Linked DNA regions of Xenopus tropicalis. The protein of the gene in region 2 interacts with the protein of the main gene of each other region in a pairwise test. Links are inferred from orthologs where the notes say so. Each region holds a gene or a part of one and is shown on either strand. Other genes may lie near its edges. The genes, in order: TRAF3-interacting JNK-activating modulator, tfip11, poll, exosc5, sh3glb1, cep57 and c1orf109.

Evidence for each region.
Region 1: the proteins of tfip11 (region 2) and TRAF3-interacting JNK-activating modulator interact in binary tests that used the Homo sapiens proteins (3 or more experiments, as listed by UniProt). The two-hybrid records come from large-scale screens. The link is inferred for Xenopus tropicalis from reciprocal best matches to the Homo sapiens genes TFIP11 and TRAF3IP3.
Region 3: the proteins of tfip11 (region 2) and poll interact in binary tests that used the Homo sapiens proteins (3 or more experiments, as listed by UniProt). The two-hybrid records come from large-scale screens. The link is inferred for Xenopus tropicalis from reciprocal best matches to the Homo sapiens genes TFIP11 and POLL.
Region 4: the proteins of tfip11 (region 2) and exosc5 interact in binary tests that used the Homo sapiens proteins (3 or more experiments, as listed by UniProt). The link is inferred for Xenopus tropicalis from reciprocal best matches to the Homo sapiens genes TFIP11 and EXOSC5.
Region 5: the proteins of tfip11 (region 2) and sh3glb1 interact in binary tests that used the Homo sapiens proteins (3 or more experiments, as listed by UniProt). The two-hybrid records come from large-scale screens. The link is inferred for Xenopus tropicalis from reciprocal best matches to the Homo sapiens genes TFIP11 and SH3GLB1.
Region 6: the proteins of tfip11 (region 2) and cep57 interact in binary tests that used the Homo sapiens proteins (3 or more experiments, as listed by UniProt). The two-hybrid records come from large-scale screens. The link is inferred for Xenopus tropicalis from reciprocal best matches to the Homo sapiens genes TFIP11 and CEP57.
Region 7: the proteins of tfip11 (region 2) and c1orf109 interact in binary tests that used the Homo sapiens proteins (3 or more experiments, as listed by UniProt). The two-hybrid records come from large-scale screens. The link is inferred for Xenopus tropicalis from reciprocal best matches to the Homo sapiens genes TFIP11 and AIRIM.

Annotation. Positions count from the first base shown.
Region 1 is NC_030678.2:50,640,884-50,644,479, forward strand, and holds part of TRAF3-interacting JNK-activating modulator, read right to left. Parts: intron 3,075-3,596; coding exon 3,045-3,074; intron 2,006-3,044; coding exon 1,910-2,005; intron 1-1,909. UniProt on the Homo sapiens protein: Adapter protein that plays essential roles in both innate and adaptive immunity. Plays a crucial role in the regulation of thymocyte development.
Region 2 is NC_030680.2:15,108,000-15,112,039, forward strand, and holds the start of tfip11 (tuftelin-interacting protein 11), read left to right. Parts: upstream 1-1,205; 5' UTR 1,206-1,317; intron 1,318-1,491; exon of another isoform or gene 1,492-1,789; intron 1,790-2,655; 5' UTR 2,656-2,660; coding exon 2,661-2,860; intron 2,861-2,978; coding exon 2,979-3,129; intron 3,130-3,681; coding exon 3,682-3,838; intron 3,839-4,040. UniProt on the Homo sapiens protein: Involved in pre-mRNA splicing, specifically in spliceosome disassembly during late-stage splicing events. Intron turnover seems to proceed through reactions in two lariat-intron associated complexes termed Intron Large (IL) and Intron Small (IS).
Region 3 is NC_030683.2:30,778,677-30,782,709, reverse strand, and holds the start of poll (DNA polymerase lambda), read left to right. Parts: upstream 1-1,211; 5' UTR 1,212-1,241; intron 1,242-1,646; exon of another isoform or gene 1,647-2,041; intron 2,042-3,032; 5' UTR 3,033-3,140; intron 3,141-4,033. Other genes in the region: protein DPCD, read right to left, coding at 866-929.
Region 4 is NC_030684.2:79,502,198-79,506,577, forward strand, and holds the start of exosc5 (exosome complex component RRP46), read right to left. Parts: upstream 2,811-4,380; 5' UTR 2,781-2,810; coding exon 2,693-2,780; intron 1-2,692. Other genes in the region: bckdha (2-oxoisovalerate dehydrogenase subunit alpha, mitochondrial), read left to right, coding at 3,007-3,078. UniProt on the Homo sapiens protein: Non-catalytic component of the RNA exosome complex which has 3'->5' exoribonuclease activity and participates in a multitude of cellular RNA processing and degradation events.
Region 5 is NC_030680.2:106,593,743-106,597,338, reverse strand, and holds part of sh3glb1 (endophilin-B1), read left to right. Parts: intron 1-1,804; coding exon 1,805-1,946; intron 1,947-3,596. UniProt on the Homo sapiens protein: May be required for normal outer mitochondrial membrane dynamics. Required for coatomer-mediated retrograde transport in certain cells. May recruit other proteins to membranes with high curvature. May promote membrane fusion.
Region 6 is NC_030678.2:164,688,834-164,693,149, reverse strand, and holds the start of cep57 (centrosomal protein of 57 kDa), read right to left. Parts: upstream 2,841-4,316; 5' UTR 2,612-2,840; coding exon 2,579-2,611; intron 159-2,578; coding exon 1-158. Other genes in the region: protein FAM76B, read left to right, coding at 3,503-3,586. UniProt on the Homo sapiens protein: Centrosomal protein which may be required for microtubule attachment to centrosomes. May act by forming ring-like structures around microtubules. Mediates nuclear translocation and mitogenic activity of the internalized growth factor FGF2, but that of FGF1.
Region 7 is NC_030678.2:86,153,921-86,158,264, reverse strand, and holds the start of c1orf109 (uncharacterized protein C1orf109 homolog), read right to left. Parts: upstream 2,864-4,344; 5' UTR 2,622-2,863; coding exon 2,446-2,621; intron 1,675-2,445; coding exon 1,402-1,674; intron 311-1,401; coding exon 131-310; coding exon of another isoform or gene 115-130; exon of another isoform or gene 84-114; intron 1-83. UniProt on the Homo sapiens protein: Part of the 55LCC heterohexameric ATPase complex which is chromatin-associated and promotes replisome proteostasis to maintain replication fork progression and genome stability.

The DNA.
Region 1 (3,596 bases), on a different chromosome or scaffold from region 2:
TAAAGTACAAAAATAATTCCCTTTGATTGTTTCCCATATTGATTAAATGCATCACATGCTTCACCAAAAATAAATTGATTAAATGAATGTGTGCATTCTCTCTTCACTCTGCAACAAAGATCTTCTCTATTTTTAAGATACATAGACTACAACTCATTGCCCATATATATTATAGTTCTGGATTTTCTAGCGTTTTACTGCAAAATAACCCACTAAAAGAAACCTGTGTTGGGAACACCTGCTCTGTAGTTGTAGTTCTCTTGAAACGAAGATACATTTCCTGTCTGTAAGCAATAAGAAATGCTTTTTTTCCTGCATGCATATAGAGGAAGCATCAGCAAACCACATCAAAGCTTATGAAGAGTTGCTAAAACTAGTTATCTTACCGTCAGAATTTCCCTTCTTACTAATTATTTTGAATTCATTATTTTTAAAGTTTCTAACCAGTTCCTTCTATGTCATAGTCTATAAGCCAAATTGTGTGTGCAATTTGGCTTATAGAGGTGTATGAATATGGTGGAAAATTCAACAAATCTATCTCTACTGTTATTTTGTCTTAAATTGTACCCCTTTTGTGTATTCCTTCTAATTTTACTCCAAAAATACTATCTCCACTTTTGTGAAATGCACCCCAGTAACAATGAGAAGCGAGCAAGAACCACTTGCACTATGAATACTTTTATCTTTATTGATATAGCACATGCATGTTCCACAGCACTTACAGATATACATCATTCACATCAGTACTTCCCAGAGTGAAGCATACAATCTAAGGTCTCTATCACATTCACACATGCTATGATGAATTCTATTAGGACTCAGCTATTAGGACTCACACTACTATTTCAACATTTTCAACTTATTTCAACATTCAGGAAGCAAAGCACCATGGCATTCTACACCATGGTATTCTACTGTTGGATCCATTTTTCTTTCAGTGATTTGAAACTGGACCTTTGTATGCATTTTTATGTGTTTTTGTTATGCAGCACTATTTTGTAATTTAAAGTAATATATAGGAATGCGCTTTAAATAAAATTGAAAATAATAAATTAACAGTGCCATTAAAATCTTAATCTAAATCATCCATTCCAAAAAGTTTATATTCATCTTTTTAAATTCATATGAAGCTGAACTTAAATCTTTGAAACAATAAATATACTTCAGGGGCACTGTGGGTGCACAACCATTTCTAATGAAAAAAGCAGAAACAGCCCAGTCTAGAAATGGAGATCCAATGATGGCATGCTGTACCATGGGACACCCATGTGCCACCCTGCTGTAGGCAGTGCTACTTAAAGCAGGCGATGCTGCACATAACAGAGGTATAGGATAAATTATCTGAAAACCCTTTATCCAGAAAGATCTGAATAACAGAAAGGCCATATCCCACAGCGTCCATTATAATCAAATAAAGGTTTTCAAAATGATTTCCTTTTTCTCTGTAATAATAAAACAGAACCTTGTACATGATCCCAATTAAGATATAAGAAGTCCTTATTGGGTTTATTTAATGTCAAAATATTTTTTTAATAGACTTATAGTACAGAGATCCAAATTAAGCATGAAAATCCAAATTATGGAAAGATCTTTCTCCATCCGGTACACCCTAGGTCCCAAGCATTCTGGACAATAGTTTCCATACCTGTACTTGTGGCATTACACAGCGTATTACAGAGATTATACAGCATTCAAGTCAGAGTGTCACACAGCAGGAAACATCTAAACTGGTGGTTCCCAAGGAAAAGTTTATCTCTGGCCACAAATATTTATTCTTCATTTTGACCAATATGACCATATTTTTTAGGGCACCAAAGCAGTAAATAAACAAGCAACCATAGTTCTTTTTAACCAACAAATCAGAATAACCCTGTTTCAGAATTCCCATGGTTTATCAAACAGAATCTACCTTGAATGACTTTTCAGATGTCTGTAAGAGTGTTCGAAACAACTCCTGCAAGGAGCACAATTTCTTTTTCAGTTTCCTCTCTCTATGGAGAGCTTCCTGCAGAAGTCAGAAAAATAAGTGACATTAATATCAGATATAATGTACCCCCTTAATGTAAAATAATGTATTTTCTGTGGACGTATAAATGCATGAGGCCTAAGCTGAGTGCTCCTGTAGAGGTTATGAGGCTCTAAGTTAACTTCTAAATTCCTCATTTACATGGTCAGTAACCTGTATTAAAGAAGCCTGTTGCCTTGTGTCTTTATATGGTTATTTAGTGAAATTTCTCTAAGTCACACAAAAATTATAAATGCTGCTGATGATAAATAACACTGTCATTTTTTATGCAAAGGTGATACTTAGTCCTTGCGGTTGGCTGTAAGGGCTCACATATACCTCATACACTTGAACAGTGCCCCAGCAACTCTCACAAATAATTTTTGTTTCCGTTTGCCTGAGGGATGCTCCCTATCCACCCCAGAGAGAGGGTGGTGTCAATGTGCCTTCCTACCACTCCCTGTCATCTCCCTAATGCTTTACACATAGAAAGGCAGATCTTGCAGGTGGGCAGAATTTTGAATGGGTTGATGATAGAGACATCCGGAGGACTACTGTGGCCATACTAGGATGAGTGGTACTGTACTAAGCACTGCTGTCAGGGGGGCTTTATACTTTTCTACATAGGGCCCTCTTCTGATTGTGTCTGCCCTTTAATATGTGAATTTAAAAAAAAAACAGGGATGCACCAAATCCAGGATTCATTTAGGGATTCGGCCAAGATTCATCTTTTTTAGCAGGATTTGGATTCAGATTCTTGCTGGGCTGATTCTGAATCCTTAAATTCTCTAGACTTTTTGTCACAAACACGGAAGCGAAAAAGTTTTCACCGCACACTTTGCGGGCAGTTCTATCTGACCCCTCCATGGCCTAATTTGGATATGCAAATTAGGATTCAAATTCGGTTCAGCATTTGCCCAAATCTTTCACAAAGGATCTGTGGTTTAACCAGATCCCAAAATAATGGATTTGGTGCATCCCTAGAAAAAAAAGAGATTAGAAATTGCACAATATAATTGCTAAACTTTATCATGCTTACCACAAGGTATTCAGAAAGTTCCAACAACTCCTGAAAAATAAAACATTTCACAAATTATACATGTAAATGCAAAGTCTACTATGAACATATAAACTAGAACAACAGATATTTGTATGCACGCAACCAAAAGGAAAACAGAGAGAACATTTCCCCCCAGGCTCCTATATTTATGAGTTTTTCCAGTGTTTTTAGAAGCATTACCCCCTGAGTTTAGTATATATTCTCACTGAATTTTTGGAAGGACTGCAGTGTATTCAGGCAACCACGAAACATTAAAAAAATTATTCATCCACAACATTACTACATTACATTACTATTGTTGTGTCTGTAATTCATGTGCCAGAGACACGCAGCTCTCTGCTCTCTCCTGCTCCCCCCCCCTCAAGAATACTAAGAACTCACTCCCCCCCCCTTAGGAATGTGGATCTGAGCCTATCAGCAGGAAGCTGACTCATGGGGGAGATTTACTAATCCACGAACGGTCCGAATGTGTTTTTCGCAATGATCGCTATTTTTGCGACTTTTTCGTATGTTCCGCAACTTTTTCGTTGC
Region 2 (4,040 bases):
TTGCAGAACCCCACTTGCTTGCTTATTAAACTAGCCCCTAGTAACCAAGCCCCTAGCAACCAAGTCCCTAGCCCCTAGTAACCAACCCCCCTAGCCCCTAGTAACCAAACCCCCTAGCCCCTAGTAACCAAGCACCTAGCCCCTAGCATTCCAATCCTGCCCGTCTGATTATTACACAACCCCAAGCTTGCAGAACCCCACTTGCTTGCTTATTAAACTAGCCCCTAGTAACCAAGCCCCCAGTAACCAAGCCCCTAGTAACCAAGCCCCTAGTAACCAAACCCCCTAGCCCCTAGTAACCAAGCACCTAGCCCCTAGCATTCCAATCCTGCCCGTCTGATTATTACACAACCCCAAGCTTGCAGAACCCCACTTGCTTGCTTATTAAATTAGCCCCTAGTAACCAAGCCCCCAGTAACCAAGCCCCTAGTAACCAAACCCCCTAGCCCCTAGTAACCAAGCACCTAGCCCCTAGCATTCCAATCCTGCCCGTCTGATTATTACACAACCCCAAGCTTGCAGAACCCCACTTGCTTGCTTATTAAACTAGCCCCTAGTAACCAAGCCCCTAGTAACCAAGCCCCTAGTAACCAAGCCCCTAGCAACCAAGCCCCTAGTAACCAAGCCCCCTAGCCCCTAGTAACCAAGCCCCTAGCATTCCAATCCTGCCCGTCTGATTATTACACAACCCCAAGCTTGCAGAACCCCACTTGCTTGCTTATTTAACTAGCCCCTAGTAACCAAGCCCCTAGTAACCAAGCCCCTAGCCCCTAGTAACCAAGCACCTAGCCCCTAGCATTCCAATCCTGCCCGTCTGATTATTACACAACCCCAAGCTTACGGAACCCCACTTGCTTGCTTATTAAACTAGCCCCTAGTAACCAAGCCCCTAGCAACCAAGCCCCCAGTAACCAAGCCCCTAGCCCCTAGTAACCAAGCCCCTAGCCCCTAGTAACCAAGCCCCTAGCCCCTAGTAACCAAACCCCCTAGCCCCTAGTAACCAAGCACCTAGCATTCCAATCCTGCCCGTCTGATTATTACACAACCCCAAGCTTGCAGAACCCCACTTGCTTGCATATTAAACTAGCCCCTAGCAACCAAGCCCCTAGCAACCAAGCCCCTAGCAACCAAGCCCCTAGCCCGTAGCCCCTATTCCAATCCTGCCAGTCTGATTCTGACACAACCCCACGCTTGTAGAACCCTACTTCCGGTGTCGCGTCCCGTACGCGTCATTGTGTAGGCGTGACCGGAAGTGTGCCGCGTACATTACTGCAGCCTGTGGAACCCGGGGCTCAGGTACCTGGAACTGGAATATCGGTAACTATGACGCCTCATGGAAGCTTATTTTAGCATTTAGCCCCACTTGTTTGTGTTTGGTATAACTAAGCCGGGGCTGCTCAGTGAATACGGGGTGTCTGGTTCCCGCACAGGAGCGGAATGGCCATGTGTACCTGTCTGGTGTCAATGGCTGCGCTATTAGTTTCTTCCCCATAACTGTTTGAGGGGATTATGGGAGTTGTAGTTTAAATCCTGACCTGTGATTATTGTCCCTTACTAAATGCTGTTACATTGATTGCTGCATTGTATCTGGGTAATGCATCCAGTTCCATAGCATGCCATTTACTCACTCCATGCCCCATTCCTCTCCCATCACTCACTTCAGCATGGCCCTCTTTAACCCCTTATGGGTCACTGTAAGTAGTAGTACTTCTCTGGTTGGCTGTGGCTACTGAGCCATTCTGGCCAATCAGGAGGGGGAACGCAGCCGACTGGACATATACTGTTCAAGGTTATTTCTATCACTTGTCTTTTTTTTTTTTTACCTAAATCCAAGGAAAAGGACATGGAATGTTTTGGGGGGCCCCAAGGCACAACCCTGTATAGCCATAAAGGGGTTGGGCACCTTTGAGTTATCTTTTAGTTTGATGTAGAGAGTGATATTCTGAGACAATTTGCAATTGGTCTTCATTTTTTTATTTGTAGTGTTTTAGTTATTTTATTTTCAGTTCAGAAGTTCTCCAGTTTGGAGTTTCACCAGCTATTTGGTTGCTAGGGCCAAGTTACTTTAGCAGCCAGGGAGTGGTTTGGACAAGAGACTGGTATATGAATAGGAGAAGGCCTTAATAGAAAATTAAAGTTACAAAAAGTAACAATAAAACTGTAGCCTCACAGAGCGATAGATTTCTGGCTGCCAGGGTCACTGACCCCCATTTAAGGGCTCTGGCACACAGGGAGATTAGTCGCCCGCAACAAAACTCCCTGTTCGCGGGCGACTAATCTCCCCGAGTTGCCGCCAGTTGCCATCCCACCGGCGACAATGTAAGTCGCCGGTGGGATGGCACACGCAGCGGCGCGATTTCGGGAAATCACTGAAGTTGCCTCGCAAGGCTTTTTCGTCGATTTCCCGAAATCGTGCTGCCGCGTGTGCCATCCCACCGGTGACTCGGGGAGATTAGTCGCCCGCGAACAGGGAGTTTTGTCGCGGGCGACTAATCTCCCCGTGTGCCAGAGCCCTAAAAAGTTGGAAGGAGAAGGCAAATATTTAATAAACTATAACAAATAAATAATGCAGACCAATTGAAAAGTTGCTTAGAATTGGCCATTCTATAAAACACAACAACTTATATATTGTTAAATATTGTTTCCCTCTCTCAGGCACCATGTCTATGTCGCACCTTTATGGCAAAGATGAGGACAGCGATGGAGTGGAAATGGAGAACTTTGAGATCACGGACTGGGACCTACAGAATGAGTTTAACCCCAACCGCAGAAAGCATTTCCAAACAAAAGAGGAGGCGACCTATGGGATGTGGGCAGAGCGGGACTCTGATGATGAGAGGCCAAGCTTTGGGGGGAAAAGGTTGGTGGGTCTTTAGATTGGTAGGAGGGGTCACTCAATAGTAATAGTCACCTTCTTGCGTGCAGTTAATGATACAGCACCACCCAATACGGACACCTTTCATTTTATTTCTTCATAGGTCTCGAGACTACTCGGCCCCTGTCAATTTTATCAGCGCTGGGATCCGTAAGCCTGCTGCAGAAGAAAAATCTGATAGCGATTCCGACAGTGAAACGCAAGCAAGGAGGGAAACTTTCCCAAAGGATTTTGAGGCAAAGAAGCTAAGGACGGTAGGATGAGTCTAAGGAGTGTTTGTACTTCCCAATAGTAATAGTCTGACAGGGTTAAAAGGGGTGTTCTTCTTTAAACCAACTTTTGGTTGCTATTCTAAAACAATTTGCAGTTGGTCTTCTTTTTTTTTTTATTATTATTTAGCTTTATATTCAGCACTTTTCCAGTTTGGAATTCTAACAGTTATATGGTTGCTATGAACCAACATAACCTAGCAACCAGTCAGTGGTTCAAATGAGAGACTGGAATAATAGCAGGAGTGGGTCTGAATAGAAAGATAAGTTTAAAAAAAAAAAAAAAAAAGTAATAACAGCGTAATTGTAGCCTCACAGAGCAATAGTTTCTTGCTGCCGGGGTCAGTGACCCTCTTTAAAAAAAATGAGGACCAATTGAAAAGTTGCTACGAACTTGCTCTTCTATAACCTACTTAAAATTAACTTAAGGACGAACCATCCATTTATAAGAGAGAGAACTATTATTGTAAGAAAGACACACTATATTCATTGTTTCATTCCAAAGCTTCAGTCAGTTTCAGTTTGTGTATTTTACAGGGTGGTAATTTCAAACCATCACAGAGGACATTTGCTGGAGGAATAAAGTCAAACACAGATTTTGGTTCTTGGGAGCGGCATACCAAGGGAATCGGCCAGAAACTTCTTCAGAAGATGGGTTATGTGCAAGGAAGAGGCCTGGGAAAGAATGCTCAAGGTATAACTGGGTTCTTTGGCCAGTGAGGTTAAATTAGAAGCTCTACTGAGGCAGGGGCTATTCTCAGATGGAAACGTGCAATAGTAGCTTTTATTATAATCTGACTGTAAGTATGTGAGAAAAATGTATTTTATAGCCAGGATATTCTTTAAAGGATAAGAAAACTTCAAAATAAGTTGATGAACATTTGCAATTTACATTC
Region 3 (4,033 bases), on a different chromosome or scaffold from region 2:
CTGCTTCCCTATGCTTTTGGGTTTTTTTCCCGTGTGCCCACACTCAGGCAGTTGCCATAACCTTTAATGCAGGCACACAGAGAAGCACAAGAAAGCAGATCCGCTTCTCTCAGCCTGGCCGAAAAAACGCAGGATTGAGAGAAGTGGGTATGCGCTTTGTGTGACCTCGCCCTAAACTAAAAAAAAAAAATGAGACATTAAGCCCCTAGGTAAGAATAGAAGGATTTGATTGGGGGGAGATCAAATATGAGACTTGTTTGTTATATGCTTGTTATTATGCATGGGATTAGTTGTCCTTTATTGAACTAAACCTGCAGGTCCTGTTGTAAATCATCTTTGGTTATGGGACTATTAACTGACAGAACCTAACAATTTGGTCTAAAACCTTATCCCCAGCCAGTGTCCTGTGAGCAACATGGGTGTTACTCCCAGTGGCCTCAAAGCAGGGGCTTATTTTTGAATTATTGACTTGGAGGCAAGTTTTGGTTGCATAAAAACCCAGTGTAAAGCCACACAGAGCCTTCTCTTGGCTGCCAGCCCACATAGGGGCTACCAAATAGCCAATCACAGCCCTCCTGAATTTCTGCTTATGTATCCTCAGTTATCAGTTCAGCAGTTCCCCTGCGAGTTTGTTCAGCTTTACCAGGCTACTGGCTGGACATAGTTTACATGTTTATGGCCTAAGATTTTAAACTCCACCAGGGCAGTGTATTGAATATAATCTGTGTAGGCGCTATACAAATAAAGCATGGGATTTGGTTATTGAGGAGGTTGAATGAATGAATATGGTTAACGTTAGCTCTATATCTTTCTCACAGCATTAAAGCCCAAGCCGATGTGACTGCGTTCCCACAAGAACACTCACCATCCTGTAAAATGCACGTTTTCTGCGCAGCCTTCAGACTCTCCAGCCAGCTTGGAAGCGCCATCTTGGAACCTGTCACACGCGGGGCCGAGTTACTATAGCAACCCAAAGCTTGCCGGCCTCTTAGGCAAACCGACCTGAGTTGCCATAGTAACGCAGCGGACTGCCTTGTAACGTGTACACAAAACCTATCAACATACCTATCCCAAAATATAAAACGTCTCTACAAAGCTACTGCTGTAACGGGATATTATATATTCTCTTATTATCGGGCTCATTAAGCAATGGACTCCGGTGACCACTTCCGAGTCATCCGGATACGGAAGTGACCTAATTAAATGTCCGTGTATGTTTATAGATGTGGTGTTGAACTCTAGTAAGTGAATGTGAGGGGGGGACAAAGCGATAAGTTACTGTTTGTTTCTCTGTTTGGGGCGCTGTGTGTGTATTTTCCATGTAACTATTTGGGCGCAGTGATCTATAGCAGTGATATATAGAATCGTGGAACTACATCTCCCTCCGAGATGGCTGGAGAGCTGCTGGGGAAAGAAAATAACACATAATCACACATTAAACCGTACTGTTACTTAGGGTTTGGGTTCCATAAGAGAAAGTATTGATTACCTTCCTTAGTGTAGCTGTTTGTATAGCAGAACATTAGGCAATCACAATGGTCTGTTATTAAGTGTACTTATATTATTTGCTACTGTTTATTGCTTGGGGTGGGGTGGGGTGGGGTAGGGTAGGGTGGGGGAATAATGCCAATTTTACTAGAAGGACGAAAAGATTGATTTAGCAGCCCTGGGTTCATTTTGTGGTAACCCTAGCCACTGGTTCCTATATATAAGCCCACTGACTCTGAGGGCAATGGGGAGATTCCCTTTGGTGGAAAAAGCTCCATTGACTTTATTGGTCAATGGGAGGTCAAGAAATGCCTCCCATTGGGGTTAACAGTAATCACCAGTCCAGACGATACCATAAAAAAAAGTAGAGGGCAATTGTGAGTTTTACTGCCTCCCCACTGCCAGTCTCTCTGTGCCATTGCCAGTAAGCTGGCCATATGTGGGTTGATATTGTAAGCCAACTCTGCCTCTCTTGGCAGTCTGCAGCCTAATGGCCGATGCACAGGGCAAAAGCGATGATCTCCCTACCTGTATCTACTCAGGGTTTGGCCAGGTAATGATATTTCTGGCAGGAAACTCCCATCAGGCAGATGCTACATAGAAACACAGTCCTTTCTTAATGACTCTGCCCGGGTTGATAGTTTTGGCTGGAAATCCCATCATCAGGTAACCCCAGTCTGCGAGTTAAAGCCACATATAGGGGCTGATTTACTAATCCACGAATCCGAATGAGAAAAATTCGGATTGGAAAACTAACATTTTGCGACTTTTTCGTATTTTTTGTGATTTTTTTCGTAAATTGTCGCGACTTTTTCGTAACCGTTATGACTTGCGCGAATTGTCGCGACTTTATTATAGCCATTACAAATTTCGTGAATTGTCGCGTCTTTTTCATAGCCATTATGACTTTTGTGAATTGTCGCAACTTTTTCATAGCCATTATGACTTTCGTGAATTGTCGTGACTTTTTCATAGCCATTATGACTTTCGTGAATTGTCGCGACTTTTTCATAGCCATTATGACTTTCGTGAATTGTCGCGACTTTTTCATAGCCATTATGACTTTAGTGAATTGTCGTGACTTTTTCATAGCCTTTACGACTTTTGCGAATTGTCGCAACTTTTTCGTATTGAGCGATCGAAAAAGTCGCAAAATACAGATCATTACGAAAAAAACACATTCAGACGCTTTTCGGACGTTCGTGGATTAGTAAATCAGCCCCATAGTGTACAGACTGGGAACCCGCAACACAAATTTAATATAACACATGTTTCAGAGTAAATTTACATGCAGATTGCCTGGTTGCACTATAAGTAGTTCAGTCTGCTGCTGTAATTATTAGAAAACCATACAGGATTTCTATTCCATATCCACTTTTAAAAGAAGAGTTGGCAGTTCTTGCTTTAGTGAATGTAAATTCAGATGATAAAATGTTAGTTGGATCTGGTAAAATTGTAGGTTACACCCAACTCTTCATATGAATGACAGGTAATAAATATAATAATGAATATATAACCAAAATAATGTTTTTGTTTTACCATAGGAATTGAAGCTACTTGACTGCACTCTTGCCAAATTGCCCTTAATTTTGCTTAAACGCTAGTCTGAAGGAGACACTGAGGAGACACTAACTTTGCAAGAGGTTTTCCTTGTAAGTACTACTCATACAGTATTGCTTTTAAAAAAGAACTAAACCCTAAAAATGAATATGGCCAGACATGCCATATTTTATATAAAGAACGTATTGAACCAGCCTAAATGTTCAACATCTCTGTAGTAGTAATAATCCAGTCCTTTAAAGTTGTCACAGGGGGTGGCCATACTGGACACTTCTGTTAGAAGTGTCTGCGACACTGCACATGCTCAGTGCACTCTGGGCAGCTGTTGAGAAGCTAAGCTTAGGGGTCGTCCAAAATTAATGGGCTGATGGTTTCAGAGTTTCAGATCATCTGTGTTAATTACTAATCAGCCTTATATTGTGACATTTATATCATATATATATATATATAGTATATACAGTATAATGTCAATCGGTCCCTAAGCTCAGGTAGGTGACAGCAGCACAGAGCATGTGCAGGGAATCAGCAGAAGATTGGGGGCTACTGGGGCATCTTCAGTGGCACATATCTTCTTTGCTAAAGGGCTGTGGGTGCCTTGGGCTGGTACAGAAGCAAAAAACATAATGTACAACATTTCTAGCCTACCTCTTTAGTTAAGCTTTAGTTTTCCTTTAATAAAACAAGACTTTATGATATTTTTCATATCCAAAATGAACTGTTACTATTCCAGGGGGCATATTGGTCTCTTTGGGCTCATTGACAAGCAGGAAAATGCTAAACTGAGATTTAATTGTGTGGGAATTTCAGGGGCAAATGATAGGTTGCTTTTACTAAATGAAATAGCAGTTTCTTCCTCCTACTAGCAGTATGTGTTCTTTTGTGTAATGGGAGAAAATGGATTAACTTTTAGCATGCTGTGGTTTTTATAGTATTTTAATAATTTGCCTCCCTTTTTATACCTTTTTCCAGCTATTGGATGAGGATC
Region 4 (4,380 bases), on a different chromosome or scaffold from region 2:
TTAGCCTTAAGGTGGCCATACACCTTACAATTACAATCTTTCCTGCAACCATTTGTCTCAGGAAAGATCGTTCCCACCCTCCACTGGCATTCAGAGTTGAATTGTCAGATATGGAGGTAGAAACAATAAGGATTCTACCTCCACCTGACAATTAAGCCCTAAACACAGATTTTGCTCGTATAAAAGTCTTCTGTCCCGCCCGTTCCACGAGGCGACATATCCGAAGCTTTTGTGATGTTCACCTCGTCGATCCACCATACACACAGTGAATATCGTATGAAACTAGGTGCATCGGTGCATGTATGTCAGCTTTAGTCACATAAAACTACAGTAGCCAGATTACTGCCTGTGTGATATATAAACGAACCTGAATTATGAGTTTTTACCTTTCTTTCTTCTTTAAAGCAATCTCAGCAGGGGCTCAAACACAGCCAATCATAATCACAGATGGCCGTAAGTTCCACTGTGGAAATGGAAAAATTGCCTTTTCAGGCAAAGGCAAAATGACAAGCACCATGGGGGTACTAGAAAAGAACAAGTTTGTGATTTGCTGCTTGTGCAACTTAAGTGAGGCAATGCATTCAATCTACCCATTTTATGCAGTGATCTTATGGTCATGTCTTTAGTTAATGGAGGCTTCTCTGGTTATTTATGCAGTGATTTTACTGGCATGTCTGGATTTTTTTTTTTGGTTTTAGTTTTAATTTTATGATCATGGTATTTTGGGTGTGGTAAAATGTGGGTGCAGTCATACCATGGCAGTTAACTGTGTCCCTCTTTGTAGTTTTCAAATGGCGGGAGGAGCATGGCAGTTAATTGTGTCCCTCTTTCGAGTTTTCAAATGGTGATAGGTATAAAAAGGTGGTGAGTAAAACTGTACACAAGGTGGATAAAGTGATAGGTCTTGATCAATGCAGCTTGGTAGAACAGAGTTGCAGAGAGTTTGGTGTGAATTCTAAGCCACCATGATATACCTGCTTGATATCTAGGTCAATGTGCTTACACCCTTTAGTTTCTTTTTTCCGAATTAATCTATTTTTGTGTGACTGGAGAACTGCATTAAAAATTATACTGCATTAAAAATTATTAACTGGTCAAAATGCTATAAACCACCTAAACATGGTACTGGATTGCTACTTTGTAAGGATAGCTCACATTTTTTGTTGAAACTCATTTCTAATCTTTATTCTAAAATTGAATATGGTGCAGAGCCTAGGAGCCCAAAACTACAAGCCCCTATAGCTATAATACACAAGATTTTCTTTACCAACATTGATCAGTGATGTAATTTGTATAATTTACTGACTAAAACCTCCTCTGTTGTAAAATATGTGGATATTAGAAGCCACCTCAGAGTTCAATGACCTGTATTAAACCACTTGGCCTTTGGTTCTGTGCCTGTATATGGTCATGGCACTCTAAGGAGACTTCCAATACCCTTATATTTTTTAATATGGTGTATATTCCCTATATTTTGGTTTATTTAAATGCGTACACACAGGTATCATAATCACAGTGCTGTACATGACCGTTTATAGCTCTAGAGTAAGAGTATGGTCAGTCTGTCCCCAATTCAATTTGGTGTCCAATATTTTAAAGGACCTTTTCCTAAATAAATATATATGTATTTGTACAAATGAATTGTAATTTTAAGCAGTGTTATAATATGCAGGAATTAAACATGTTAAATGTTTTTTTTTAAGTAATTTCTAAATAAAATTCCAAGAGCAGTTTGTCTGCCTTTGCTATTATTTGCTACCAGACTATAGAAATAATTAAATAAAAAATGTCTCTCCTCACCACCACCTCAGTTCCTACAAATTTGCCTTGTACTATTCTTTTATTTTACTTTGCAGCTGATAATGGCAGAACAAGCAAGGCATTGTGAGATTTGGAGTAGTTAAAGGAACAGTAACACCAAAAAATGAAAGTGTATAAAAGTAATTACAATATAATGTACTGTTGCCCTATATTGCTACAACTGGTGTGTTTGCCTCAGAAAGACTACTATAGTTTATATAAGTTAGCTGCTGTGTAGCTATGGGGGCAGCCATTCAAAGGAGAAAAGGCACAGGTTACTTAACAGATAACAGATAAACCCCCATTATATGGGGCTTATCTACTAGTTATCGGCTACGTAACCTGTGCCTTTTCTCCTTTTTTCCAGCTTGAATGGCTGCCCCCGTGGCTACACAGCAGCTTATTTATATTGTAGCTTTTCTGTAGCAAAAACACCAGTTTTTTGCAGAGCAACAGCACATTATATTTTAATTACTTTAAAACACTTTCATTTTTTGATGTTACTGTTCCTTTAAGAGTAGCTGGGGAAACCAGGAGAGAGTTGCAATAAACAGGCTGAAACTTTTTTCTCAGTAACAATTGTATCAATTTTAAAATCATGAACATTTTTTATTATCCTATATTGGAAAATTGCTTAATTTACAAGTTTGCAGTTCAGCAACCACCTACTTTAGACAAATACAACACATACATTCCCCATTGCTGTCCTCTGCATTATGACAACATGGAAGAGCTGTTCCATTAAATGAGAATAACGGCCACTGGATTTACAATTCAATTTCCATCCAATGATTTAGCCGCAAAACATTTTACGCTTCCCTTCAATATGTATCCCTTGATATCCTCGTATTCCACATAAGATTTGAGGAATTATAGGCGCGCCAAAACTAACCCTGAAGAAACGTAGCGGATCCATCGGGACGGCTCAGCAAACTCTGCTCACACCCGTATTCCCGCAATACAGAACCTACAGCCTCCATCAGAACCTTCTTTCCACATGTGCAAACACTTCCGGGGTCCTTGGGGTCTGGCAACCGCCACACTTGCCTGTATAATTATACACAACAATGCCAAAGCCTTTTTTCCCAGGGAATAATAGGAAATACGCAATTCTCGCAATTTCTCACTTCAGAGGTTATTTTTGACAAGCTGTTGAATAGGGGTCCTAAGAGAAATGTAGGCAGTGGGATAGCATTCCGAAGCAAGATGGCGGCGCTGAGGGCACTTCTAAGGGTCCGGACTGTGGCAGGAGGGTGGAGAGGCGCCGGTGGGAGACAGGTGAGAGGAGTACAGGGGTCGCGTTGGTGTGAGTGAAACAGACGATAATCAGATGGAAGGGGAGTTTAAATGTTTTATTTCTAAATGCGAGACCCTGGTCTTGTATACTGAGAAGTATACACATCTTGTACCATAAGGTACATCGCATCTAAAATACTAGTATGCCTGTCTGACGTATATACATGGGAACTACAAGAACTGTTTGAATTGGGAGATGTGTTTTAAAAGTTATATGCTATAATAAACGTGGGTTATAGTTACAGTTCAGAATTATGTAAAAATATGTGATATTGCTGACTAGATTTGTAAGGAGTCAAATTTACATTTGAATTTACAGCTTATATAGTATATACATTTATATGCTTTAGCCTTAAATAACAGGTTGGTTGATTGTCTGTCCATAAACCAGCTGGTGACAACATTGTTTCAGCTATATAAATAGGAAGAATATGTTTGTATACATACTCCCAAAATGCACACACATATTTCCAGGTATATATTTGTATAGTGCTACTTGTATACACAGCCCTGTACATATCTATATATAAGTATTTGTATAAAATTGCCTGTGCTTTTGATCAGCAGTTCTGGGACTGGAATATTATAGGTTGGAGTATTATAGAAGCAACATTCTAGTAATATTCCTAGTTCTGTACTGTACCACAGTTATTGCTTACACTGTATTGGATTCTCTGTGTTTTTGCATACGGGAAAGAATATATATTTTCAAGGTGTTCTAACTTTTTTTTCATGGTGCAGTGTAAAATGTTTTTAGAAAACATAATTATTTGCAGATACTTGTAGCCTAAATTGTGCTTTTAGTTATGTGATTTAACGGGCAAGACCAAGGTGTTACGCATTAAAGATGTGTGATGCTCTGGTGGGAAAAAAAAATATGGAACCCCCTCCCCCAGCACTATACCATACATTTTGGAGCTGGATTATAATACAATGATAATGTCATGGACAGAAATCAGAGGAGCACTTTGGCCTGTAGGGGAACATAACCTCTTGAAGAGCCCCGTGGTCTGGAGCAAAACTAGATGGTTTTAATTATTACTTATTCTTGCATATTAAATAACTATTACTACAGTTTAATTAGGATATGCCTAGTATTTGTCTGATTTAACAGCTAATGTGCCATAGATTCTGTTTTGGACAGCATTGAAAGGGTTAAAGGACAGAAATATGTAAACCGGAAGGATGACACTTGAAATAAAGGCCAAATAAAAGGTTTTATCCTTAATACTAGGTGTCAAATGGAGGAGTAAAGTGAGGATAAGAGTGAGGGGGTTTAGGAGG
Region 5 (3,596 bases), about 91 Mb from region 2:
TTACCCCGGGCTGGTGCCGCTGTCAGGAGAAAACAGCACCAGCCCGGGGTAGCTGCTGGCGCTTCCTCCTTCCGGCTTCGCTGCGCGCGCATGCGCAGTATAAGTGAAAAGCCGAACTTAAACATTTAAGTCGGCTTTTTCGCTCTACTGTGCATGCCCGGCCACCGGCAGTTTAGGAAGTGGAAGGCGGAAGGAGGAAGTGCTGCGCTCCAGGTACCCCGGGCTGGTGCTATTTTCTCCTAACAGGGGCACCAGCCCGGGGTACAAGGTAAGCGGTTAAAGTCACTTGGGGGTGCCTAACATTTTGGCACCCCCAAGTGACTTTGCCTTTCCTTCCCCTTTAAGTTACTTACTGCAAGCTGTCATATAACTTAGTGTTAGGGAAGCCACAGTCATTCCAAGCAGAGGAGCAGTAAATGTTTATAAACCAGTCAGATAAAGGTTATTTGATCCTACTTTGTCTTGAGGGACAGAAGCTATAATCCTGGGATTATGTCTAAAATGCTTGTCATAAAACAGGATAAGGCTTCTGTTCTTTGTCAGAAGGAAATAGCAAAAGCCAGGTGAGTACCAGGAGACAGATTCCTCCATGCAAGAATATTATTTTGTTTTTAGGTAAATCTAATTGTTTTTTTTTATTCTGGCTACAGTATTCTTCTTGGCTGCCACAGTTGTATTTTGGATACAGTTGCAGTGATTTTGTCTTTGTTACAAAGTCAAGTGTTGAGCAGGTGAAACTTTATTTCAGTATTCTCACTGGAAAAATTCACAAAGACAGAATGGCATGGGTTCTTGCTCACATATATAAACTGTATATACTGATACCTGTACTAAACTAACTTTAGATCTTAAAACCACGTTAGCCTTGGATATTATACTTGTTCAAGAATTCATTTAAACCACTCTTAAGGGCATTAATAGAATCTGCCTTTACAACATCACCCGACAGGTCATTCCACAGCCTCACTGCCCTCAGCGCAAAGAACCACCTACAATGCTTTAACTGAAAGTTTGTTCCTCTAGTGTAAAGGTGTGACCTCTTGAATTAAAACGGCAGGCATAGGCGCCGTCTGATTGGGGGCTGCATTAAGTTGCCGATGTTGTCCCCGATCCGGCGGAAAATCAAACCCGCCCTTATCGGGATCTTGCCAATTTTTGGACAGATGTCAGTCAGGTGCCCATACAAGGGAAGATAATCTGCCGAGTTGGCCTAAAGGACTTGAATCGGCATCTGAAATCAGCCACCTTTAGGGTTACCTTACCAGGGGTATGTTTTACCTTTGTGAAATTATTTTAAATGTGATTAATTGCGTCTGCTTGGGTGTCAGAGTAGAATATTTTCTGTTACACAGAAACTTACTTGTATGTATAACTTTATTTATAAAGCGCCACAAGGGTACGCAGTGCTGTACAATCTTACAGTATACACAATTACACACAGGGAGGACAAGTGTTGTAATAAATAAATACAATAAATATATATATATAAATACACAGGGAATAAGTGTCATGTGGTATGAGACACAGTAGGAAAGAGGTCCCTGCCCCATAGAGCTTACAATCTAAGTGACTTGCATTTTAAGTAGCAGCTGGAAGTCACTGAATGGTAAGCAATGAAAAAGGCATACACATTACTAACGTGCACAACCTGATTACTTAGAACAGCTGCACTAAAGAAATCCAAGTGCCTTTTATATATTTATTTCTACTGCCATTTAACCAATGAAATGTATTTTATTGTTCTACTTGTGAAGATGTCCAATGTTTTTGTTTTTTGTTTGTTTTTTTTTCTTCCACTGAACAGTTTACAGAAGAAAAATTTGGCCAGGCAGAGAAGACTGAACTTGATGCTCACCTGGAAAATCTTCTCAGCAAAGCAGAATGCACAAAGGTTTGGACTGAGAAGATCATGAAGCAGACAGAGGTGCTGTTGCAACCAAATCCAAGTAAGATTACCCCCCACATCAGAATGTCCCCCTAAGCAGAATGGCTTACTTGTAAAAGTAGAAGAAAGGAAATGTCAAGTCCATTTACAAATATGTAAAATTAAAACTCAATACTCAATAACAAATAGAATACATTTTTTTTTATATGTTGTACATCCTGGGACTCATTCATGTCTCCCTTTGCATTTTCATGCATTAGTATGCCACAGCATTTTAAAGTGTTAGCTGCACTTATTCTATACATTTTTTAAGGGTTTTTAGCTGTCTGTATGATGTCGCACCGAGGACAAGCCAGCTAATGGATGCTGGAAATATGGGAGGAGCCAACACAGAGGCCTGGGCAGGAAGCAAACATAATAACATTTAAACCAAATTATTTTAAAGAAAAACCTCAAAAAACTATAAGAAAAAATGAAGTAAATTTAAAGAGCAAGGAAACTCCCCCAGTAGAACTTGAGTAAAAGATCGTCCCTTAGCGAAATGCTATATTAGTTACTTACAAAACCCCCTATGTTTCCTGCAGCAGTCCTGAGAAGTTTGCTTTTCATCTCTGCAGTAGTTCTACTGGGATAATGTTTTCTCTTTAGAACGCTTGATGAGTGCATATGGGCTATTTAAAATGCATCCTAACACATGGCCAATTGTTTGTTTATCTTAGGGTTTCCTTGTCCTTTGAAGTAAATTTGAACAGTGGGTGTGTGCTGTATTTAGAAAGACATAACGGACAGTTATTGCCTAAAATAGTTTACCAAAAAGATGTCAGACAGTTGTTACTAAAACAAGGGTTAAAGCTGAGATATAGATAAAAAGATAATTTATTTCCCTTTCCGTGTCAAACAGAAAATCCCTTTACCAGAAACAATCAAGGGCTGTAGCATTGTTGGAAAGGGAAGTCATTGCAGAAGTCAATGACCATAAAGTGTCTGGCCTTGGAAGATGCCATACAAGGAATAACAGGAACAGTCTCTTAAAGGGGATCTGTATGTTTTGGCCAAAGACTTAACGGAGTTAATTTATTATACAGTATATGAGATATCAAATAATCCAATCAGAATTAATCATATATCATTAAGTATATTCCTTTTTTATCTTTATACATAATTTTATCATGTTTTTTTTGTGTTTCCTCCACAGAATAAGCAAAGAATGTCTGTAATATATATAGACATATAAGTGAATAGACACTGCTATGAACTTTATTCCCACGATTGTAACCTAGCATGTATGATTTAACTATATGGTCTTTTCTAAGCACAATTAAGCTGGCACATTTTACTACTTGGTGACCTGAATAATAACGTTATTTTCATTTCACCTGTACCTGGAGATGTCACCTGTAATTGTGTTCCACAACCTATAGTTGGTCGTAAACCTTAAGATCCACTCATTTGGTGAGTTTGCAAAATGAGCAAATATCGCCACTTTGTGGTGCCTGATAGTGGGCTGATCTGATTGTTTGGCTTAGTGCCAAATGATAGCACTATAGTCACCTGTATAGTCACAGGACTTCGTCAACTAGCTGAAATGGTCATCTCCCCAGTGGGATTTTTAAACCTGTCCAATAAATATCTGGTTGATTTTGGCCAGACACCTACTGGATAGGACACATACATGGGCAGATAAGCTCGAAAGGGGCAGAATCAGCAGCTA
Region 6 (4,316 bases), on a different chromosome or scaffold from region 2:
CTGTTGCTTTCAGGATAGGCCAGCACTGGTTTGCCGGGGGAATGGAGCAGTTCTGAGTTAATGAATGGTTTTCCACTGGGGAAGGCCACATATGAGCTCGCTGACTGTGAATCAATTCTAGATTGTCCTTTAGAATTCCCCACTGAAGGATTGTGCAGCTATAAAACAAAAATAAACACAAAGAACAGTTAGTATTGTATGTGCCCAGAACACAAGAGGTAAGACAAAGACTGGACTCTGCCACGGAAAAGCCCTTGTGACTTTAGTCAGGATCATTGTTTAATACACCTACTGCCTATGATATTGTGCAGCCCTGCCTGTCTCCTGGCCATACAGTATCCCTTCCCAATCTTTACTCCATGCAGTTCAGGAGAGGGCAATGTTTACTTCGTAAGTGTCACTGCAATTGAAAAATGTATTTCATAGTAACATAGTAAGTTAGGTTAAAAAAAGACATACGTCCAAAAAGTTCAACCTTAATACCTATATATAGCCTGCCTAACTGCTAGTTGATCCAGAGGAAGGCAAAAAATTCCATCTGAAGCCTCTCTAATTTGCCTTCTCTATATCCGCTGTAACAATGTTGTTACTATAAGTCAATGGGGCCATACTTTCGACCTGCCTCTTTTTACTATTAATATACTTAAACTTTTTGGGGTTAGTTTTGGCCTCGGCCGTGATGCGCTCCTCATTTTCTATCTTTGCCTTTCAGGTTGCAGTTTTACAACACTTGTTATAGCGTTTATATTCATTTAATGCAGCTACTGTCCCCTCTGACTTAAGCTGGCCATACACGTAGCAATTTCAAAGATCGTTCCCACCCTCCACAGACGTTCAGGGCTGAATTGTCAGATAAGGAGGTAGAAACAATAGGAATTCTACTTCCTTCTGCCGATTCAGCCCTGAAGGTAGATTTTGCTCAGACACCTTCAATAGCGCCCGATTAAAATCTTTTAACCTGGTCGATCCGCGAGACGACCGATATCCGCAGCCTTTTGTGATATCGGTTGCCTTGCCAAGTCGCCATACACGCACCAAATATTGTACGAAACTTGGTTTCATACGATTTCATCATTTTATATTTCTTAAAAGCTTTCCTTTTTTCCCTATTAACCTCTTTACCTCAGAGTTAAGCCACATAGGGTGATTCTTAACACTTCTACATTCACTTGTTAATGGAATAAATTGAGAACAGTAATGATTTAAGATAAATTTTAAATGACAACCATTTCTGCTCTGTGTTTTTATCAGAAAACATAATGCCCCAATCTATGCCCTGAAGCGCTGCCCTTAAAGGAACAGTAACACAAAAAAATTAAAGTGTTTTAAAGTAAAAGAAATATAATGTACTGTTGCCCTTCACTGGTAAAAGTTGTGTGTTTGCTACAGTAATGCTACTATAGTTTATATAATAAGCTGCTGTGTAGCCCTGGGGGCAGCCATTCAAGCTGGAAAAAAGGAGAAAAGGCACAGGTTACATAGCAGATAACAGATAAGCTCTGTAGAATACAATAGTGTTTTATCGGTTATCGGCTATGTGCCTTTTCTCCTTTGAATGGCTGCCCCCATGGCTACACAGCAGCTTATTTATATAAATTATAGTAGGGTTTCTGTAGCAAACACCCCAGCTGTACCAGTGCAGGGCAGCAGTACATTATATTGGAATTTCTTTGATACATTTGAATATTTTGGTGTTACTGTTCCTTTAAAGGAACAGTAACACCAAAAAATGAAAGTGTATAAAAGTAACTAAAATATAATGTGCTGCTGCCCTGCACTGGTAAAAGTTGTGTGTTTACTTCAGAAAGTCTACTATAATTTATATAAATAAGCTGCTATGTAGCCCCGGGGGCAGCCATTCCTGCACTGGTACAGCTGGGGTGTTTGCTACAGAAACCCTACTATAATTTATATAAATAAGCTGCTATGTAGCCATGGGGGCAGCCATTCAAAGGAGAAAAGGCACAGGCACATAGCAGATAACAGATAAAACACTATTGTATTCTACAGAGCTTATCTGTTATCTGCTATGTAACCTGTGCCTTTTTTCCAGCTTGATTGGCTGCCCCCATGGCTACACAGCAGCTTATTATATAAACTATAGTAGTGTTACTGTAGCAAACACACCAGTTTTACCAGTGCAGGGCAACAGTGCATTATATTTTTATTACTTTAAAGCTCTTTCATTTTTTGGTGTTACTGTTCCTTAAGGAGCTAAAATTTGCTTTTCTAAAATTCATTGTCTTTGTTGCCCCCGTGTAAATTAGTTTCCTGCACCAAACATCAAATTACTCAAACATTATGGTCACTATTACCCAGGGGTTCAACCACTTGCACATTTGCTATACGTTCTGGGTCATTAGAGATCACTAGATCCAATAGATTGGTTCCTGATTGGCTCCTCAACAACCTGTGACATAAAGTTGTATGTATCAGTTCTCCTCCATGTCTGCCAGCCAGCTGATACCTGCCAAGAGTCTGAACCCCCAGTGCAGAGAATATAAACAGCCAGGCAGTTGTGTATAGAATCTACATGGCATTACTGTCAAGCCAACCATCCCCCAGCCCTTCCTCTCACCGTTTTCCTTGGATACGCAGCAGAAGCCGCCATATTTCTCCGGTACAGGAAGCCACCGACTCTGCAGGGTTACACAGTCAGCCCCATTGCTACGTTTCTATTACTCTCACACACCTACACTTGCCCCGACATCTTTCCAGCTACTAGGCGGGGCCAGCAAGTTTGTGGGAGGCGCTTACACTATTGGTGCGGGTTCCCAACTCAACGGACCAATCATACGCAGCGTGCGGATTATAATCACCGCAATACAAGAGAGTAGGGAATTTGGCGCGTTTGTTTAGTATATATGTTTTATTCATATGGCGCAGTTTGTGCAATAGTTTCATGTGATCTATATTATCCGAAGTTATTTGAAGAGGTTTCACAGTGAGCCAGAACCTCCGATTCTGTGACCAGGTGCATGCTGGGAGTTTACGCAACAGCATCTTCTCAGTCGCATCTAGGGCAACATCTGTGTCTGGGTTTGGCCAATGGCCGCGGAGGACGACGTCACTCGCCAGCGAACAAAACGCGCGACGTGATTGGTGGAGCGGACCTTCCATCAGCGTGCCATTGGCTGGATGAATTCAAACGCGTTTTTCCCGCCTCCCAGTGACTCTCTCGGATTGGCTCGACCGGCCCTTCCCTTTGTGACGCCGCTGAATTTGCACACATCCGGTTATTTTTCTCCCGTTTTTATATTTGTAAAGAGGGAATAGGCCGAGTAACGTCGAGCCGAGAGCAAAGAGGGGAATAATAAGAGACGAATACGTTTCGGTGGTTCGTACCGAGCTCCGCGCAACCCCAGCGATAAGTCAGAGGCGGTGGCGCGGCTGGTGAAGGAGACGGAGCAGGAAGCACAGGCCGCCCCGTAGGAACGTAGAACCCTATTGCCAAAGCCGGTGTTGCCGGAAGTGTGTGTCCGTGCCCTTCAGTGTTCCCAGTATGGCCTCAGCGCTGTACGCCTGCACCAAGTGTCACCAGCGATACCCGTTCGAAGAGCTCTCCCAGGGGCAGCAGCTGTGCAAGGTCAGTGCCCAGGGCCGCCTTAGGGAACTTCCTTCGGTGTCCCGCCATCACTGGGGCCCAGCAGCCTTGGGTAACAAGGGCATTTCTATTGGGTTCCAGAATCTCATGGGCCTAGTGTGATCACAGGGAAGCCATTAGCTCAGGGGCCCATATGTAGCCTTTGAGTAGTGTAGGAAGGGGTGCTAGTTGGATACCCCAGACCTCCATTCATTGCTAGGAACCCCCTCTTCCCTAACTGAATCCATCTTTCTTCCCTTCAGTAGTTTGAGGGGATGCTGGAAATATATATGAATTACTACTGACTGCTGCTCAGCCTAGGGCTGGGCGATATACCGTTTAATACCGAATACCGGTGTTTTTTTTTTTTTTTTTTTAAACTATATTCATTTTTTAGATACCGCAATACCGGGGTGTCAGGGTACTCACCCGTGCAGCCCGGTCTCGCGCGCGTCCCATGTTCTGCGGGACGTTGCGCACACGCGTCCGGATGCGCGTGCGTCAAAGCGCACAAAGCGTGCACGTCCGCGACGCGGTGCCGGTTCTGCGCATGCGTGGGGGGTATTTAAAGCTATCAAACGCCTCCTCCTGTGCTATGTGTCTGTGGCCTTGCCTGGGAAACTAAACCTGCCTAATTTACCTTACGACTTTCTGTTGCCGATCCTTCGCTTGCCAGACTCTGATTTTCAATACTGCAGTAATTATTCTCTAATTTATTAGGAAATGGGGTTAA
Region 7 (4,344 bases), on a different chromosome or scaffold from region 2:
ATCTTTTTATAATTTGTGTGTTAAATTCATTGGCATCATCATACATTCTTAGCATTTAGGTTTATGGGAACAGGGATTCCTACTTGTGTCTCAAGGCAGGACTTGTTAGTAGTTCTACTTTAAAGGATACTGGTTTCTGTAATGTTTCTCTATATCTTGTAGCCATTCTAACATGTCAGCTATGGAAGGACAGAGAGAAGAACGCTCCAAAATTGCTTCAAGACCAATTTTTTCAATGCTTGTCTCATACATGTAGAGGACAGATCCAACCACCTGACTTACAGAGTCCCTTATTCTCTGCAGCGTAGACCTGTAAAATTTAGCAATTGAAGAGTTACAAAATGTAGATAATCCTTGTATTCAGGAAATACTTTTTTTCAAGTGAAAATCTGATGCCCAGTTTGGCAACCTACAATATTTACTGCCTGTGATAATGCCCAACAATGTAAATAGCATTTTGTATTAGGCCATAAACAAGTCTGTACAGATTACACACATCCAAAAACCTAGACCTTTGGCTTTCATGTTTTAACTTGCTGTGGGTATGTGATTATTTTGCAATATCCTGCTGAGAGTAAAAGGTATAAAGTGATTAAAACTAGTACTGTGCAATTAGTAGTCACAATGTAATAATTTATTGTAGGAAAATATTAAACCTATTACTGATTTGGTTAGATTTTGTGGGAACCAAAAGGTAGTGATTACACAACTGACAATCATGTACTTCACACTGAAATACAACCAACCAGCTTGAGGTTATATTGTGGGGATATAAACCTTCCATACAAAATAAATTAACCTGTAACTTGTATGCAAGTGTGAGTATCAACGCCATTTCATATCTCTTCTTATTGAGGAAGAAGAAAATTGCTGCTAAAAATATAAGAATATTTATAAAGGCAAAACCTGCCGAGTACAAAAAAATGTGCATCCTATGAGAATGTATTGTCCAAAATCCATTCTTTTAGCAGTGTATCACTTTAGAACTAACAACTGCTATATCTACTCAGCAGAGTAGATTTAAGGTAAGGGAACATGGAGCGGATACTCTTTCTTTCACCTGCAGTTTTTACCCAGGCAGAGGAAAGTGGATCCACTGTCATGCGCTCCTTCCTGTAGAACCATTAACAGGCAGTGTCTGCCTGTGTGGAGCTACACATAGCGGATATTGGCGCAGAAACACTCAAGTATGCCTATTCGTGCTGATATCCGCTCAGTGTAGCACAATACACACTGAAGCTGTGTCAGTCAATGGAAAGATATCTACATTAAGTATGACAAGCAAGTAATTCAGTGTTTTCAGAACTGATGTACATGTAAAGTGATGCTTGTATCTTATCTAAAAATTTGCATGGTGATACCAGCACCGGAAGGGTTGAACCAACAACACATTGGACTTACAACTTCTGATTTAAGATCTCCAAATTAAACTCCATAGCTGCTTGTAGTTTAAAACGAAGATGTTCTTGCAGGTTAATAAAGCTGCTCAGGGGGGTTTTCTTAAACAGTACTCTCTGGCAGGCCTGTAGCTGTTCTGCTAGATTACTTAAAGAAGTTAGGTGTGGGTTACACTCTAAAAGTGTATTATTCCATTCTTCATGCAGTGGTTCTATGGCATCAAAGGACTTTCTCAGCGATTGCTGCACGGAAACAAAGGCTGGTTTCTCAGACATCCTATAAAACGATAAAACTGGTGAAATACATGTCATAAATCTGATGCTTTGCACTTAAAATAAAACTCAAGCCAACAAATCAGTTATACAGCGTTATGAATGCAAAAACACACAACACCTTTCTAAGTATTTAAACCCTTGAAAAAGATATACTCACATTAGCCTAGTAATATTTAACTCAGTATAGTAAAATGTATGCTGAAATGTCTTAGAGAAGTAGGCATATGTTTAAACTAAGTTGCAGCAAACATTTCTTAAAGGAGACATAAATTACATAAACTTTAATCTTGTAGACAATTATGAATAATATATGGGGCTGGTTTTACTTTGGTATAAAAATTAAAACTATCTGTAAGAACTGTCCCTTTTTGGAATTCCCTATAGATCCTCTCAGGTCCCTGTCCGTGTTTCAGATGAGAGGTGGGCATGTTCTAATAGTCCCTGCCAGAAGCACAGTAAAAGGGGGAGAGCCAATCACAGCCCTGCAGTCACACAGGCAAAGACAGGCTTCAGTTCCCTATCAGGTCAGTCTAGCTGCTGATTGGTTCCTATATAGTGTGCTGAGTGCCGCTGGCCTCCCCTGAACAACCTGGGAAAGGAGGTAGCCAGAAGTGGAACAGATAAATAAAATCAATAAATCAGCCCCAAACACTACTTTTTAAAGCACATTTCTTTTATATTTAGATGAGTACAAATCATTGGCACAATATGGTTTTTCACACAATATGTCCCCTTTATTTTAAAAACAATAGGCCAGATTATGGGTACATACCCGCTGGCATTTATCCGTGCGTTTTGATGTGTCATATCATGACAACCCAAGGGCCAAATGACTTCAGAGGGAGTGGACACCAATGCTAAAATTGCTTGCAAATCTATAATAGCAGCAATTAGGCAAACATTTGTTATCAGATTTGCTCTGACTCGAAGATTTTGGCACACATGCATAATTTATATTGTTTTAAAATCGCTTTATGTTGGCAATGATCAGTAATATGTGGCACCCGATAAAATCTAAGCCATAAAGTATTGTTAACTTTAACAAAAAAAACTGCTTAATTAGTTCTACCTATTATGGGAGTGGCTTTCTAGTACTTCCAGTGTTATGGGTATCAGTTTTTTTTGTTTTATTTTAAAGCAGGGGTAGGGAACCTATGGCTCGGGAGCCAGATGTGGCTCTTTTGATGGCTGCATCTGGCTCGCTGCCAAATCTTTAATAAAAAAAAAAATAACAGGGGGTGTGGCCTGCGCTCGGCAGATAGAAGACATGTTCTATACGCCGAGCACAGGCCACGCCCTCCTCCGCATTGCATCCAGCAACCGGCATCCTTGGGACCCACCCAACCTTGCCCCGCGGCCAAACATATTATAGGGAATTACATTTTAAAATATGTGGTGTTTATGGCTCCCTCAGCCAAAAAGGTTCCCGACCCCTGCTTTAAAGGTTAAACAACCTATGGCTACCTGTGCTGCATTTTTTCTTTTATTTTTTATACATAGTTGGTAAAAAAAAATCTATAGATATGGTACAGCTGGTATTTGTTTGCTGGAAAAGTTGGACCTAGACCTAGCAGTAGTTACTGCCAGGAGTTGTAAGGAACAGAGGCATTGTTGCATGCTTGGAACAGTGATTACAGGAAAAAATAAGTATATCCACCCCTATATTAGCAGTTACCACAGTGGAAGATGTTCTACATAACACTACCAGAATAACATTAATAAATCTAAGATTATTTTTATAAGGGCGAATCATCGGCTCAAATGTATATAAAAGGTGATATATTTCAGTATTGCTTTCAATTATTTACTAAGAAAAAAGTAAGGCTATCCGTATTACATTGATTCGTGTCCTTAAACAGCATTACAAACAATGTCATATATAATGTCATATAGAACAGAAAAGGTAAAATAAAAACAGCGTCAACTTCCCAATTCAAACGCACGTATTTCACCAGACCTGGAAAAGCTGCTTAGCTTGCCCGCTATCATTAGCACAACTGCAACGTGAATACATTCACCTTTTTTTTTAAAGCCGGAAATGGAAACCTACAGCCGCACGGCATGAAGGGAATTGTAGTTTAAAGTCTTGTTATTGCTATCGAGGTGACTGGCGCGACAATTGTTTATTCCTTATTTTCCTTGGTAACAATTGCAGTTTAAGTTGGTTTAATACCATAATTGTGCATGAGAGTAGCTAACGTAAATTTTGATTTGTCGGCGCTGCTATAAAGGATATTTTATGATAAATCGCTAGAAACTACAAATCCCAAAAATATTTAAATAAGAGGGAATTATTTCCGGATCGGAGGTAACGTTCGGTGGTTTCCGGTTTATAGAGAAGGTAGATTGCTTAACATTTTGGTTCTTCTCGGTGTGTGTTTGTGAAAAGATTATAGTGCCAGCATGAATGAGGAGGATGATAGGGGCAGGAAGCGGAGACCACACAGCCCGGAGACAGTAACTATAAAACAGGAAAGGATAAGCCCCGTCAGGCAGCACCGCACCCGGCGAACTCCAAGCCCTCGAAGCAGCGATGGGGGATCCCCTCACCGGCACCAAGGGCGCAGGCGAAGCAGGTAATACCATAAAAAAACAATTCAAAATTGTGTGTGTGTGTGTGTGTGTGTGTGTGTGTGTATGTATGTATGTATGTATGTATGTATGTATGTAT